3 linked regions of the Ovis aries genome follow. The main gene of each other region encodes a partner of the protein of the gene in region 3 in a complex. Links are inferred from orthologs where the notes say so. Each region holds a gene or a part of one and is shown on either strand. Other genes may lie near its edges.

The links.
Region 1: the proteins of FST (region 3) and INHBA are in contact, whole or in part, in a crystal structure (PDB 2P6A), measured with the Homo sapiens proteins. The link is inferred for Ovis aries from reciprocal best matches to the Homo sapiens genes FST and INHBA. Residues at the interface, in NP_037541.1 of Homo sapiens: Trp33, Arg35, Val44, Leu45, Arg60, Phe76, Met79, Asp135, Glu152, Pro154, Glu155, Val180, Val181, Asp182, Gln183, Tyr188, Val190, Arg221, Thr224, Cys225, Arg229, Ser230, Ile231, Gly232, Leu233, Glu328; in NP_002183.1 of Homo sapiens: Asp315, Phe327, Asp337, Trp338, Ile340, Ala341, Gly344, Tyr345, His346, Gly360, Thr361, Gly363, Phe368, Thr371, Arg397, Ser400, Leu402, Tyr404, Asp405, Asp406, Gly407, Gln408, Asn409, Ile410, Ile411, Lys412.
Region 2: the proteins of FST (region 3) and GDF11 are in contact, whole or in part, in a crystal structure (PDB 5JHW), measured with the Homo sapiens proteins. The link is inferred for Ovis aries from reciprocal best matches to the Homo sapiens genes FST and GDF11. Residues at the interface, in NP_037541.1 of Homo sapiens: Leu34, Arg35, Gln43, Val44, Leu45, Tyr46, Lys47, Thr48, Arg60, Ser62, Asp72, Asn73, Leu75, Phe76, Met79, Ile80, Leu134, Asp135, Arg149, Gln153, Pro154, Glu155, Val180, Val181, Asp182, Gln183, Tyr188, Val190, Thr191, Asn193; in NP_005802.1 of Homo sapiens: Asn299, Leu300, Gly301, Leu302, Glu310, Arg312, Asp328, Trp329, Ile331, Ala332, Lys334, Arg335, Tyr336, Lys337, Tyr347, Met348, Phe349, Met350, Pro354, His357, Gln361, Ile380, Asn381, Leu383, Phe385, Asp387, Lys388, Gln389, Gln390, Ile391.

The regions. Positions count from the first base shown.
Region 1 is NC_056057.1:80,952,308-80,956,250, forward strand, and holds the start of INHBA (inhibin beta A chain), read left to right. Parts: upstream 1-1,143; 5' UTR 1,144-1,300; intron 1,301-3,943. UniProt on the Homo sapiens protein: Inhibins/activins are involved in regulating a number of diverse functions such as hypothalamic and pituitary hormone secretion, gonadal hormone secretion, germ cell development and maturation, erythroid differentiation, insulin secretion, nerve cell survival, embryonic axial development or bone growth, depending on their subunit composition.
Region 2 is NC_056056.1:163,715,400-163,719,458, forward strand, and holds the start of GDF11 (growth/differentiation factor 11), read right to left. Parts: upstream 2,801-4,059; 5' UTR 2,798-2,800; coding exon 2,353-2,797; intron 1-2,352. UniProt on the Homo sapiens protein: Secreted signal that acts globally to regulate anterior/posterior axial patterning during development. May play critical roles in patterning both mesodermal and neural tissues. It is required for proper vertebral patterning and orofacial development.
Region 3 is NC_056069.1:25,761,226-25,765,256, forward strand, and holds the start of FST (follistatin), read right to left. Parts: upstream 2,801-4,031; 5' UTR 2,617-2,800; coding exon 2,532-2,616; intron 533-2,531; coding exon 341-532; intron 1-340. UniProt on the Homo sapiens protein: Multifunctional regulatory protein whose primary function is to antagonize members of the transforming growth factor beta (TGF-beta) superfamily including activin, myostatin, GDF11 or bone morphogenetic proteins (BMPs).

The sequences.
Region 1 (3,943 bases), on a different chromosome or scaffold from region 3:
GGATGTGATCGTTCTAGAGACCAACTCCATCTTCATCTTAAGACCAGGAAAAGCTGTTTTGAGCAGGACCTTCCTCCTTGGGACAAGGAACCTTGGTGAGGTTTGGCCCCTATATGCCTCCACCTGAGAGCTAAGCTTTTCTCTGGGAGTTTGAATTTGAAGGTTAGGGATGATGGCTCAGAGGGGGAAAGTGTGAATTGGTAATCGCTTTCATATGACACTTGAGAGATGTTATAATAAAGCTGAGTAAATTGGAGCATGAGTTAGCCGGCCCTTTGCCTAATGATGTCACCCACTTTCTGCTTCCTCCAGCCTATGATTAATAAAAGGGGATTATTACAGTAACTCACTCCTAGTGGGCAGTAGTGACTTCAGCACCAGCTGAGCAAACTGACTACATTTAGTCGTGCGTGTGCATGTGGGCATTTTTTTTTTCCCAGTGACTAACATGAAACTAACAGCATCTAGTAAAACAAAAGCTCCTTGAAATTTGGGGAACTTCTTGGGTGAACTTTTTTCTCCAGGGATCACAGTTTTAATTACTCTCATTTCATACTTAAATGAGGCAAAAGGACAGGATTGGCTTCACGTCCCCATTTATTAAGTGATCACAAATTCACCCGTGGCTTGTTGGAAAAGAGGTGTTCTGAAGCTTTTTTTCCTTCTAATACATTGTCTCTTCCTTCCTCCATCATTCGATCCCATCTTTAAAGAAGAACTTGGTAAATATCCAGAAAAGGGGGACAGGAGCTGAGTTAATTTTTGAAAGTCTAAGGCTAGGTGTAGACCCCAGAGAGTTCAGTGAAACTCTCCAAATACTGTGCTTAATTATAGTGTGCTTTCCTAAGTTGATAAAGACTAACGGAAGTCCTGCCTGCCAAGGCACCTTTGCAAACTTGACCTTCCTAAAATTAGAGTGGGGCACCTGTAAATATTTACTAACCAAGCCACAGTGTCAGTGTCTGTGAAAGTACACCGTGCCCAGAACAAGGGCACTCCTGTCATGCAGGCCTGGATGGGCCTGGGGGTGCTCCAATAGAAAGGTAGAACCTTTGGACTCTCTATCAGCACAGGAAGGAGGCAGCGATTCACTGATTAAAAAAAAAAAAAAATACACACAGGACTTCCCTAATTCTTTTCTGTGTCTTCCCTCCAAAGCTACAATTTGGGAGCAGGTTGTGGATGGGCAACATTGGATTAAGATCAAGATTCCTTCTTTTATGAGTCTAATGGCATCTGTAGGCTAAGCTTCTGAGTCTTCCAGGCAGCAACATGGAACTTTCAACCCAAGGGAATCCAGGTGAGAACCACAATTACAACTATTTGTTATTCGTTCCTTTGCAAGCATTGTTCATCATCTTCTGGGACAATAGGAAGAGCAACCAGATGTTCCCTGATTGGATTAGAACTGACTTTTGATAAACACTTTCAAAATATTATGTTGGTTAGTAAGGCCTTTTCGTTTTAGTGTTGCTTTTATTTCTTTTTCAATATCTATTTTTCTCTAGAGGTTATAACTGTGTATTTCTCTCTCTAGATTGAGTTTTTCACCAGGACTAAATGATTACTTCTTGGGAAGAAATCCAGGCTTTTCTGAATCATTTGGAAGTGGATGGAAGTCTTTGGTTCTAAAATAACCATCTATTGCAGAAACTAGATTCAGGTGTTGGCGTTGATGAGATGGCATCTGAGTGTCTAAGACGTTCCCCTCTTGCCTCGTTCATCTCAGAACATTCTCTGACTGACCCTCTCCTCTCTGGATAACCCAGGTCACTTAAGAACTAAGTGATAAGCCTGGAGAGCTGGCCTTATTGTATAGAGATCAGCATTTCACATCTCAGCTAGATGAATCCAGCCAAATTCCCTTTTGTGGGTTTCACCAGCATTTGTTGATGATGCTGATTATTTTCTGTGATATGGTCTCCTTCACAATATTTCCCCCAGTCCTCACAGGAGAGTAGCACCTGAAGGGGCATGGCCTTCCTTTACAAAGGAAATTTGGAGAATATAAAGTTGCTTGGAACATGCATTAGATTTCGCAAAGCACTGTTTTCTCTCTGTGGATATTGATTGTGTGTCATTCCCCCAAGGTATTAAACAAATAAAATCAGCCACATCATATTTGCTTGCTCTGGGAGCAAAGCATGGTAATCCCACTTTTGCGAATTTCACTTCAGGGAATTTGCTAGTGAGTGGATTTCTCAGATACCGACTTGCTCAAATGAATAACTCACTCCCCATTCACTTTTTGTCTTCCATTATCCGTTGCCTCCTGACAGCTTGGGTGGGGGCTAATTCATCTCGCTTTGCTGCCAGTCACCAAGATTTTGCTTTTGGTTCGAACACAAAGCCAGAAGCAAATACTTGGAGGCCTCCCTGGAAAGTTGGTGGGGATGCTTGAGAAGCACCCTTGCTCTGCTGTGCAGGCTTCTGGTAATCAGGAAGCCCAAGCCATACAAGGAGGCAGAATCACTTGAATGATTCCTCTCTTGCATAGATGCCGGGGCCCCTTGGAGCATGGATGGGAAGGAAATTAGGTGAAACTTTGGAATGATAACTCAACGTCAGGGCTTCTCCACTGCAGAGGAGTTACCATTTGGTGTCGGATGATTTCTCTGCTGAGACGGCTGTCAGGGGCACCATTAGAATGTTTAGTGGCAGCCCTGGCTTCTACCCACTAGAGGCCAGTAGCACCTTCCTTCCCAGTTACACCAAGCAAAAATGTCTTCAGACATGGCCATATGTCTCCTGGGGAGCAAAATCATCACAGTTGAGAGCCACTGCTGTAAGTGGAGTGATAACAGTTTATTTACTGAGGTTTTTCTTTCTGGTTTTTTCCTTAATCATTTTAATTCTAGGGTCTGGGTTCCCTTGGTTCAGGTAAGGCACTTCCAATTACTCTTAAAACAGAGTAGTTGCACATAGGACAAGGCCTTGTGGGATATTCTGGTGGTTTAAAAACAAAAAACAAAAAACAAAAAAACAAAACAGGATGCTTAGGAATAAGAGTTTTAGATTAACTATTTCTGATCCTGTTGTGTTCTAGTGAATTTTGGAGGACTTTTTATTAAAAATTTACTTTATTGAAGTATAGTTGATGGACAATGTGTTAATTTCTACTATACAGCACAATGAAACATTTATACATATATATGCCTCCTTTTTCATATTCTTTTCCATTATGGTTTATCACAGGATATTGAATATAGTTCCCTATACTATACAGTAGGAACTTGTTGTTTATTCATTCTATAGAACAAGAGTTTGCATCTATTTATCCTAAACTAATCCATCCCTTGGAGAAATTTTCATGTTTCCCTCTTCCTCTCTATTAAGTTGTATTTATTCATTGATTTGACCAGCAAACAGCTTCCTAGTTCAGTTTAGAATGTGAAATGCTCATTCTTCCTTGTCCCAAATCTCTCTTCCTAACCCAGCGCCCAAGAGATGGGCAAGCTCCGGCTGTCCAGGAAACAGGCAGGGATTGCCAGTTCCCTATTCAACCCAAACCATTCGATGAGACTCCGGAAATCTCCCGGCAGCAAATACCACTCTGGATCCCGCCCACGTTTTCTGGATCCGGAGAGGCACTGCCTCTCGAGGGAGTCACCACTCCCCACGGAGGCAAGGTTTTCCTGCCTGGAGCCCAGAATAACACGTCAGCTGCTGAGAACACCTCGAATCTTATTGATTTCTCCCTCTAGTCACGTTTTCTGTTCGGTCTCCCAGACGGGGGGATGAACCAGAAATCATGCTTTTGGGGGAACAGATTTTTCATAGGAAGGAACTAAAACACCCTGAATCGTCAGCAGCCTAGTCAGTGCTGTGAACCCCCCAGCCTCGTGCCATTTCGACTGAATCAGATGACAAGGTCCCAGTCACCTGCTTGGGGCGTTCACGCCTCCTAGCGGGATTTTTTTTTTTTTTTTTTTAAACAGAATAA
Region 2 (4,059 bases), on a different chromosome or scaffold from region 3:
GAGAGGTCACTGCACTATTTTCAGCAAAAGCCCAACCCCCTCCCTGCTCACCACCTCCTCCTCTTCCCACACCCCCCACTCCCAAACACCAAACACACTTTCCTCACCCTGGCTGGAAAGCCTAGGGGCAGGAGGTTGGACCGAGAGGGCAGGGGCCTCTGGGTGTAGGGAGGAGAGAGAGAAACTGAGGGGCTGGGCTTGGCTCCCTGAAGGGCAAGGGGGCTGGGTTCCCAGGATGGAGGCTGGGGTGGGAGAGCCTGAGAGGGTGGAGGGAACTAGGGCAGGCAGTGCAGCCTAGGAGAGGTGGGGGCTGGGGTCCAGGGTAGAGGGCTGGGGGGAGGGGAGGGAGGGGGAGGGGAGCCGAGGCCATCTCTGCTGACAAACACCTCCCCCGATTAGCAGAGCACAAGTCTCTTATTAAAGCGGGTCCCTGGGGATTAGACTATAAAAGTCTCTTTTTCCTTTTCCCCTCTCTCCCTCCCCGCCCCTCGGCTCCCCCTCCCTCTCTTAAGAGCTCAGCTTGTCTCTTAAAGGGGACGTACAATACCTGGCTGGAGACCCAGTTCCCTAGTTATCCAAGCCCTGGGGTGGCTGGAGGGTAGAAGCTGAGGTGAAACCCCACCTGCTGGTGTCCTTCCCCCTTCTGCCCACCCCCTGAGTCTAACCTGCATTTCCCAAACTGTGTGTGCAGCATCTGTTCACTTCCTGCATCCCAACGACCAGAGCGATCTCTGGGCTCTGGCCTATTGGTTAAGAGATGCTAGGGATAGAATGAGCAAGGGGAAGTCCACAGCTCCATCCCTCACACTCGAAATCCTCACACACCCGCACCGCATAGACCAAAGTATCTCTTTCCTCCATACCCTTCATCTTCTTCCAGCAAACTCTTCTTCAGAATTCCTCAACCACTCTTGTTTCTAACTTGATTTCTAACCCCCATCTCTGCTCTCAGTCAGTCTGACCATTGCTTGTATAAAAGCAGAACCTTAAGAACAGAAGGGAGACTGAGGAACTCAAGACCAGATCCTAGACCTTCCCACCCCCACCCCAGGATAGTTTCCTAGTCCCTTGAGTGTGCTTTTCTTTACAGCCCTAACCAAGTACTGTGGCCTTAGGGTCACAGAAAAACTGGTGGCAGTGTTGGGCACTCAGCCTCCCAGAGGCACACCTGGGTTCCTGTGCCTCTCCCTTGGGGGTGGGCTGCTAGGACTCCCCTCAGCCCTCAGCTTTTTATGACCCATTTGCCAATAAACCAGTCTCCCCCTCTTCTGTTCAGAGCCATAAAACCAGTTGGTGGGGAGGGGGGCGACTTTGCCAAACCACAAGGGAATGAGGGGATCTGGTTCCCAGCAGTTGCTGGGGGTGGGGTGGGTGGGGGGAACACCTCAGTGCGAGGAGGGGGAAAGGGCATCATTTGACCTTAGGGAGAGCTGGGGGGGTTGCAGGGGGTGGGGTTGGGGGGGCAGTGTTGGCCTGGATTTTCCAGGCCATAAAATTTCAAAGCAGCTCAAGTCTATTAACATGTTCATCTTACGTTTGGCCAGGGACTAGGATGCCTGGGTTCCCCTCCCTCCTACCAAATTTTTTTTCCTCCCTCAGTCTTTCTCTCGCTCCTCAAGCCTGGTTGCGGCTAGAGGCGGGTGAATATAAGATACAACATTAAGGTCTGAGTTGCCAAATGGGTGCCCTTAGCCCCAGCGCCATGGAGTTGAGTTCTCTGAGCTCTGTTAGTACCAAGAAGGCACGGCTTTCTCGGCCCCTGGGGAGAGCCGGTGTCAGAAGGGCTCCCGGTGGAATGGGTGCCGGCTGGGTGCCTGCTGGGCCCTGGCTGAGATACAGGGCTCGGGATCTCATTCCTGGGAGGCGGAAAGGAGCCCTAGGTTTTCGGCAGCCCGAGGGGCGCGTTGCAAAGCCCAAGGTGTACGGGGCGGTGAGTCGGTGCCAGGTCCATTGAGAGGCGGAGAGCACGGCAGCCTGGCTGGGACTGCGCGAGTCCCGGAGCCTGCCGATTCTGTTCTCCAGCCTCTCCACCAGGACCCTTCAGGATGAGTTGCCGCCCCCTCCCCTCCGCTACAGAATCCCCACAACACGGGTGCGAGGCGGTATCTCGCAACCCTTTCCGTTTGCCCCCTCACCTCCGGCAGCGGGGCGGGCACACAATTCCGCAGCCCATCTCCACAGCTCGGAAAACTTGTGGAGCAGCCCCCGCCCCCCCATCCATCAAGTTTTCGCAGAAAAGGGTTTCCGGCCGGAGTGACCCGGAGCGCCCCGCTTCGGAGCCGGAGGCGCTCACTTTCTCGGAGCCGGAGCGGGAACCAGCACCCCACCGCTCCTACCCCGCCGCCCACTTACTCTCCTGGGCCATGCTAATGACAGTCTCGGTGGTGGCGTGGTACTCGTCCTCCTCCAGGAAGTCCTCGGGCTGCAGCGCGTCGCCCTGGAAGTCGTGCAGGTCCAGGATCTGCTGCAGCGGCGGCGCCTTGGGCAGCAGCTGCTTCACCACCTCGCGGCTGATGTTGGGCGCCTCCTTGAGCCGCAGTTTGCTCAAGATCTGCGACTTGATGCTCTCCAGGCGCAGCTCGCGGCTGTGCTGCCGCCACACGCACACGGGGCAGCCGTCGGGCTCGGGAGCCACGGACGGGGCCGGCCGGCTCGAGCGCTCCCCCCCGGCCCCCGCCGCCGCCGCCGCCGCCGCCGCCGCCGCCGCCGCCGCGGGGCCCTCGGCCGCCTCCCCCCGGGGCCGCAGCTCCAGGGCGAGGAGCAGGAAGCCCAGCAGCAGCGGGGCCGCGAGCACCATGCTGGAGGGGAGGGGAGGGAGGACTGGGGGGCGGGGACGCCGGAGTCCCGCGGGGAGGGGGCGGAGGGAGGGGGAGGAGGGGGTCCGGGCGGCGTGGGGATTGGGGGCTGCCCGGCCGAGGGGGAGCCGGGGGGGCCGGGGGCGGCGGGCGCGCGGGCGGGGCGGGCGGGCGGCCGGGGCGGGCGGCTGGGGGGGCCCGAGCCCGGGCCAGGCCCTTTATAGCCCCGGCCCCCGTGTCGTCAGCGGCCGCGATTGGCTGCGGAGCCAACAAAAGAGGCAGCGCTGTCATCCGAGGCGAGAGAGGGAGCCGGAGAGAGCCGAGGAAAAGAGAGGGAGGGAGCGAGGACTCAGAGAGAGGCAGACAGAGATCCTAGGGTGAGGGAGAGGAAGGGAGAGAAAGTCAGAGTCAGAGCGACCAAGGGGATCCTGAGAGATAAAGGGGGGAAGTGGACACCGATCAAGGGCACAAAGATAGAGCAGGAGGAAGAGATGAGAGAGACAAAGGCAGGGGTAAGAGGGTCTGGGGAGGGGGAAGACACTGGGAGGAGAGACTTAACTAGAGAGACAGAGAAGGAAAGTGACAGGCATAACGAGTGGGGGACTTAGAGAAGACAGGGCAGAGAGCCACCAGGGAGGAGAGGGGGTATGGCCAGACCACAGGAATTGAGGGGTGCACAGACATGGGAGCAGGACCAGAAGCCCGGGAATGAGAGAGGGAATGAAATCTGGAGGAGGAAGGCGGCACGGGCAGAGACTGGGAGATACCAAGGGAGCCCCACAGAGGAAGCAGACGCGGAGAATCAGAGGAAAACGGAGATGGGAAGACAGCCCAGCAGTGAGAGTCAGCTTTGGTGGGAGCACTGAGAGTTCAGGGGGAGGCAGTGGAGAATTTGAGCCCAGAGGAGCCCCAGCTATGAGAAGGACCCCAGGATCAGAAAGGGGCCTGGAGAGAAGCTTCAGGCTGGTCTCCTCAGGGGGATCAAGAGATGGGAGAACTGGACATGGAGGTTAGCAAGGGAGGCTAGGAGAAAAAGAGACTAGGGCCAACCTGAGAAGGTGGAGAGCTGGTGGGAAGTCCTGAGACCAGAGGAAGACTTGGAGCCAGGAAGAATGTGAATGTGAAATTGAGGCTTGATTCACTGATAAAGGAGTCAGTAGGCTGGAAAAGGCAGGGACTGGGGACCACTGCTGGAGGAGTGAGAGGAAGCAGCGCCAGAGACCACTGTGCTTGCAGAGCAATCGGGATCTCTGGATTCCCAGGT
Region 3 (4,031 bases):
CTAGGAGTCTGAGCCCAAGGGGCTAGGCTGTTGCCCGGAAGTTGAGAAGAGGGAAGGGTGGGGGACAGTGGGCTGCATCCTGTACCCAAATCTCCCTCAATGAGCAAGGGTTGGCTGGCTTCACCGCCACATTTGGCTAAGAAGTCCGAGAACCTCTGGCGACCCTTGTTTTGCCTGTAGTGTGTGACAGGCGATTCAGCCCCATCAGCTTACCAGGGTTCCTAACAGGGGAACCCACAAACAAAGCTCTCCCAGTCCCAAACCCCGGCTGGGCACGGGGGAAGCTGAGGGTAAGACGCCCTCTACTGAGGGCCTGCAGGCTGGGGAGGAAGAGCCCTACCTTTACACGGGATGCAGTTGGGGGCGCCCCCATTGAAAATCATCCACTTGAAGAGCGTGTTGTCATTTACGTCCTCCTCGGTCCACGAGGTGCTCAGGCGGCCAGTGCTGCAGCACTCCTCCTTGCTCAGTTCTGTCTTGTACAGGACCTGACAGCGGCCGTTCTTTGCTTGGCGGAGCCAGCAATTTCCAGCTGCGGGGAGACAGGGGTGGGGAGGTAGGCAAGTGAGCCGGCGGCGCCGGCTGGGTAGGGGGAGGAAGGCAGTGAGCCGGCAAGGGAAGGAGACCCGGCGGGGATGGCGAGGGAGTGAGCGTGGAGGAGAGACGGCAGAGAAAAAGCAGAAAATAAATCAGAGGGAGTGAAGGGGTGGAGAAAGGCGAGGGGTGGGGGGTGGGGTGGGGGGACCAGATTGAAGAGATGGGAGGTGGGCGATGGGGAGGGAGGGCGAGAGCGAGAAGCCCGAGCGCTCCAGCCATATCAATGTCAGTTACCAGTGACCCAGACACAACACGTGCAGCTTGCATTGACTTTTACTAGACTGTTTACTTTTATTCGTCCCATTTCATAACCTGCAGCGACTCGAAGAGCAGATTAAAGAACCTGACAAAAACAGGATGCGACGGATGTTTTTACATGTCGGTTTCATGTAGGCGGTACGAGTATTATTTGTGACAGGGGTTAAGAAAGTAGGAGAACTTAGAAAGAAAAGAAAAAGAGAGAGAGAGAGACCCAGACAGACAGACAGACACTCACACACACACACACACACACACACACACACACACACACACACACATACAGCAACAGATCACGCAAAAGGCACTTCTGAAAAATGAAAGCAAAAAAGCAACCGGGCCCTGCCCGGCGCTGCCCCTCGCGGCCTCGAGGCGCAGCCCGCCCGACGGGCCGTTTTGCAATCCTCCAGACCCAAAGGACGCCCGCGGCCACCGCGATCTTTCGAAATCTCTGAGGGCTGCTTTCCCCGGCGCCCACGTCCCGGGCAGTCAGGCAGCGCCTCGCTCCGAAAGGTGGACAACTCAGAGCAGTAGTGCATCGCAGGCGGCTAGGGGCCGTGCCTAAGGGGCCGTATACAACACGCATAAAATAACGCTAAAGTCAGGAAAGTTACAAGTCTGCCTCAAGAAAAGTACCGAGGTTGGGGGCGGGGGGAAACAAGGTGGGAGAGGGACTTACTATCGTTTCATGGTTATATATACATATACATACATACACGCGCACACACACACACACACACACACACACACATACCCCTGTCTCATATACCCCTATATCATACCTACCGAGATATCTTTGCAAGTAATCCCCCCCTTCTTCCTTTTTAATGTTCAGATTTTGGTCAGGAAGACTTCTCATGAATCATCCATATAACTTTAACAATAATTGGACTGCAAGCTGCTATTATTATTTTTAAAAATTCTGCCCAAGACTAATGGAGATAAATCTAATTAAAAAAAACTTTAGAAATTTGCTCTTATTGCATCTCAGAATTTAAATCAATTGTGGGTTCCTCACTGTTCTACAGAAAGTTAACAATCAGTAATGAGACAAAAGGGGAAAAAATTGTAAACTTTTCAAAACAGTCCGGGGTAATTTTTTTTTTTTTTTTGCGGGGTTGGGGGGAGGGGGTTAGACGAAGCATCCACTAGGCAGAAAGCTACTTCCCTCTAAAATTTTCGGCACCCTCATTTCCAAGTTTGGGCAAAGTTTCTGAAACCACGTCCCGCAGTCACCGAGGAAATTTCAGTATTCCCCCCTCCCCACTCAGTCGTTTTTTAAAGTATCCAAAAGATGCACGAGGGAGAGAGATTAGATTGCAAATGGGTCGATTGCAATCTTCAGGCTACCGATGCTTATCCCCTTCTTCAGAGCCAAACAGGGGAGATAACATCTACACTCATTACATCCAGAACTTGGAGCATCTAACCCTAACTACTGAGAGAGACTCTAGCTCACTCCCTTTCCTTTTAAAGGATAACTGCGCTCCAAACTCGGTTCCCAGTTCTAAAGTGTCACTGCCTTCAGTTCTCCCACTCCTCTCCATCCCGGATTCGCTAAGTTGGTCCAACATCTTCCGAAAGCAGAGTTGCTCAGAACAGACCCGGTGGAGACGCCCGAAAACTACAAACCCCTGCCCTCCTCCGAGCCTCCCTGCGCATCCCGCCTCGCTTACCCTGGGCGCTGCGGTCCTCCATGAACTGGCAGAGAAGCAGCAGCAGGAGGCAAAGCCCGCCGGGCTGGTGCCTAGGACGGGCCATCCTGGGTCTAGGCGCGGGGCGAGGAGCGCGGCGGCGCGGGGAGCGGGCGCGGCGGCGCGGGGAGCGGGCGCGGCGGCGGGTGGCTCTGGCAAGCGGTGCGCGTCGCAGAGGCGAGCAGCGGAGGGCGCAGATATCCCGGCGTAGCCCAGCGCTTGCCGCCGGCCGCCCTCGCGATTCAATGGACGTCAGAAGCCAGGCGCAGCCGCGCTTTAAATCTAGACGGGGGTCTCCACGGTTTGCGGTGGGCGGTCTCCCAGTGTGTGGGGCAGTGGGAGGGCGGCCGCGAGCGAGGGTGTGCGCGGTTCCTTGGGGGTGGGGAGCTTTTAAAAGTTCAGTGTGAATCAGGTGACATTTCCCACCTTCTGAAACCCTTCCCAATTATCTGGTGGAGGTGCCCGAAATCAAAGCGGCAGGAGGGGAATCGCCGAGTTCTTATTTGCGTAGGAGCGAGAGGGAGGGGGCAGGAGACCCGGGCGCGGGGGGGTGGGGTGGGGGGGACGCTTCGGGGGTGGGGAGTGGGGAAGAACACCCACTTCAAGTCCTGCACGCCGCCGCTCGCTGGCAGCGCCGGCGCGCCCGGGGTGGTGTGTGTGTGTGTGTGTGTGTGTGTGAGTGTGTGTGTGTCTGGCGCGGTGTGGGCGCTGGAGGCGGCGGCGGGCAGGGCGGAGCGGAGCCGGGCGGCAGGGCGGGAGTTGATCGCAACGCTGCTCCTCCGCTCCAGGAAGACTTCGCAAACGCCCGGAGAGCCCCGAGCTGCCTTAATACCCCGCCGGAGGTCCGGTCGCTGCCGTGTTAGGCCCCCGCAGCCTGGAGGCGGGACCCCGCGACGTTGTCTGTCTGGGTCTGCGCGTGCCGAGCGCCGCGGCCACCCCCGAGCCCAGGGTTGTGGCTGGGAACCCCGGGCCCCGGCACCTTCCACCCCGGGCAGAACCTGGCGGAGACGCGGCCCACCGTCTCGACGAGTTAGAAGCAAACAAAAATGTTTAACACCTCGGGCCGGGCCTCCCCCCCACCGTCACAGTCTCGCCCTCTCCTTTTCTTTTCTCCCCTTTCGCTTCCCAGCTTCTGGAGGAGTCGGAGCCCGGAGCGGGGGCGCCGACGTAGGCGGTCTACCCCCCTTCCGCGGCTCGGAGACTCCCCAGTTTCTGTCCTGTGTCTGTCTCTCTCACTCCCAGTCTCCTCAGTCTCTCTCGGTTCGCGGAATAAAAAAGATTGCAACATCGATAATGAACTTCTGTAGCCTCAGTTTATTAAGCACAGTGCCTGGCATTCTTCGCTGAAAGTTGGCGGGTCTCTCATTTATAACATTTTTGGCACCGCTGAATGAAACAGAGGAGGCGATATTTCCTTTTATATAAAACGATTACTTCACGGAAAATGCTATATTGTTTATTTCAAAGCTGCCTTTTAAATTT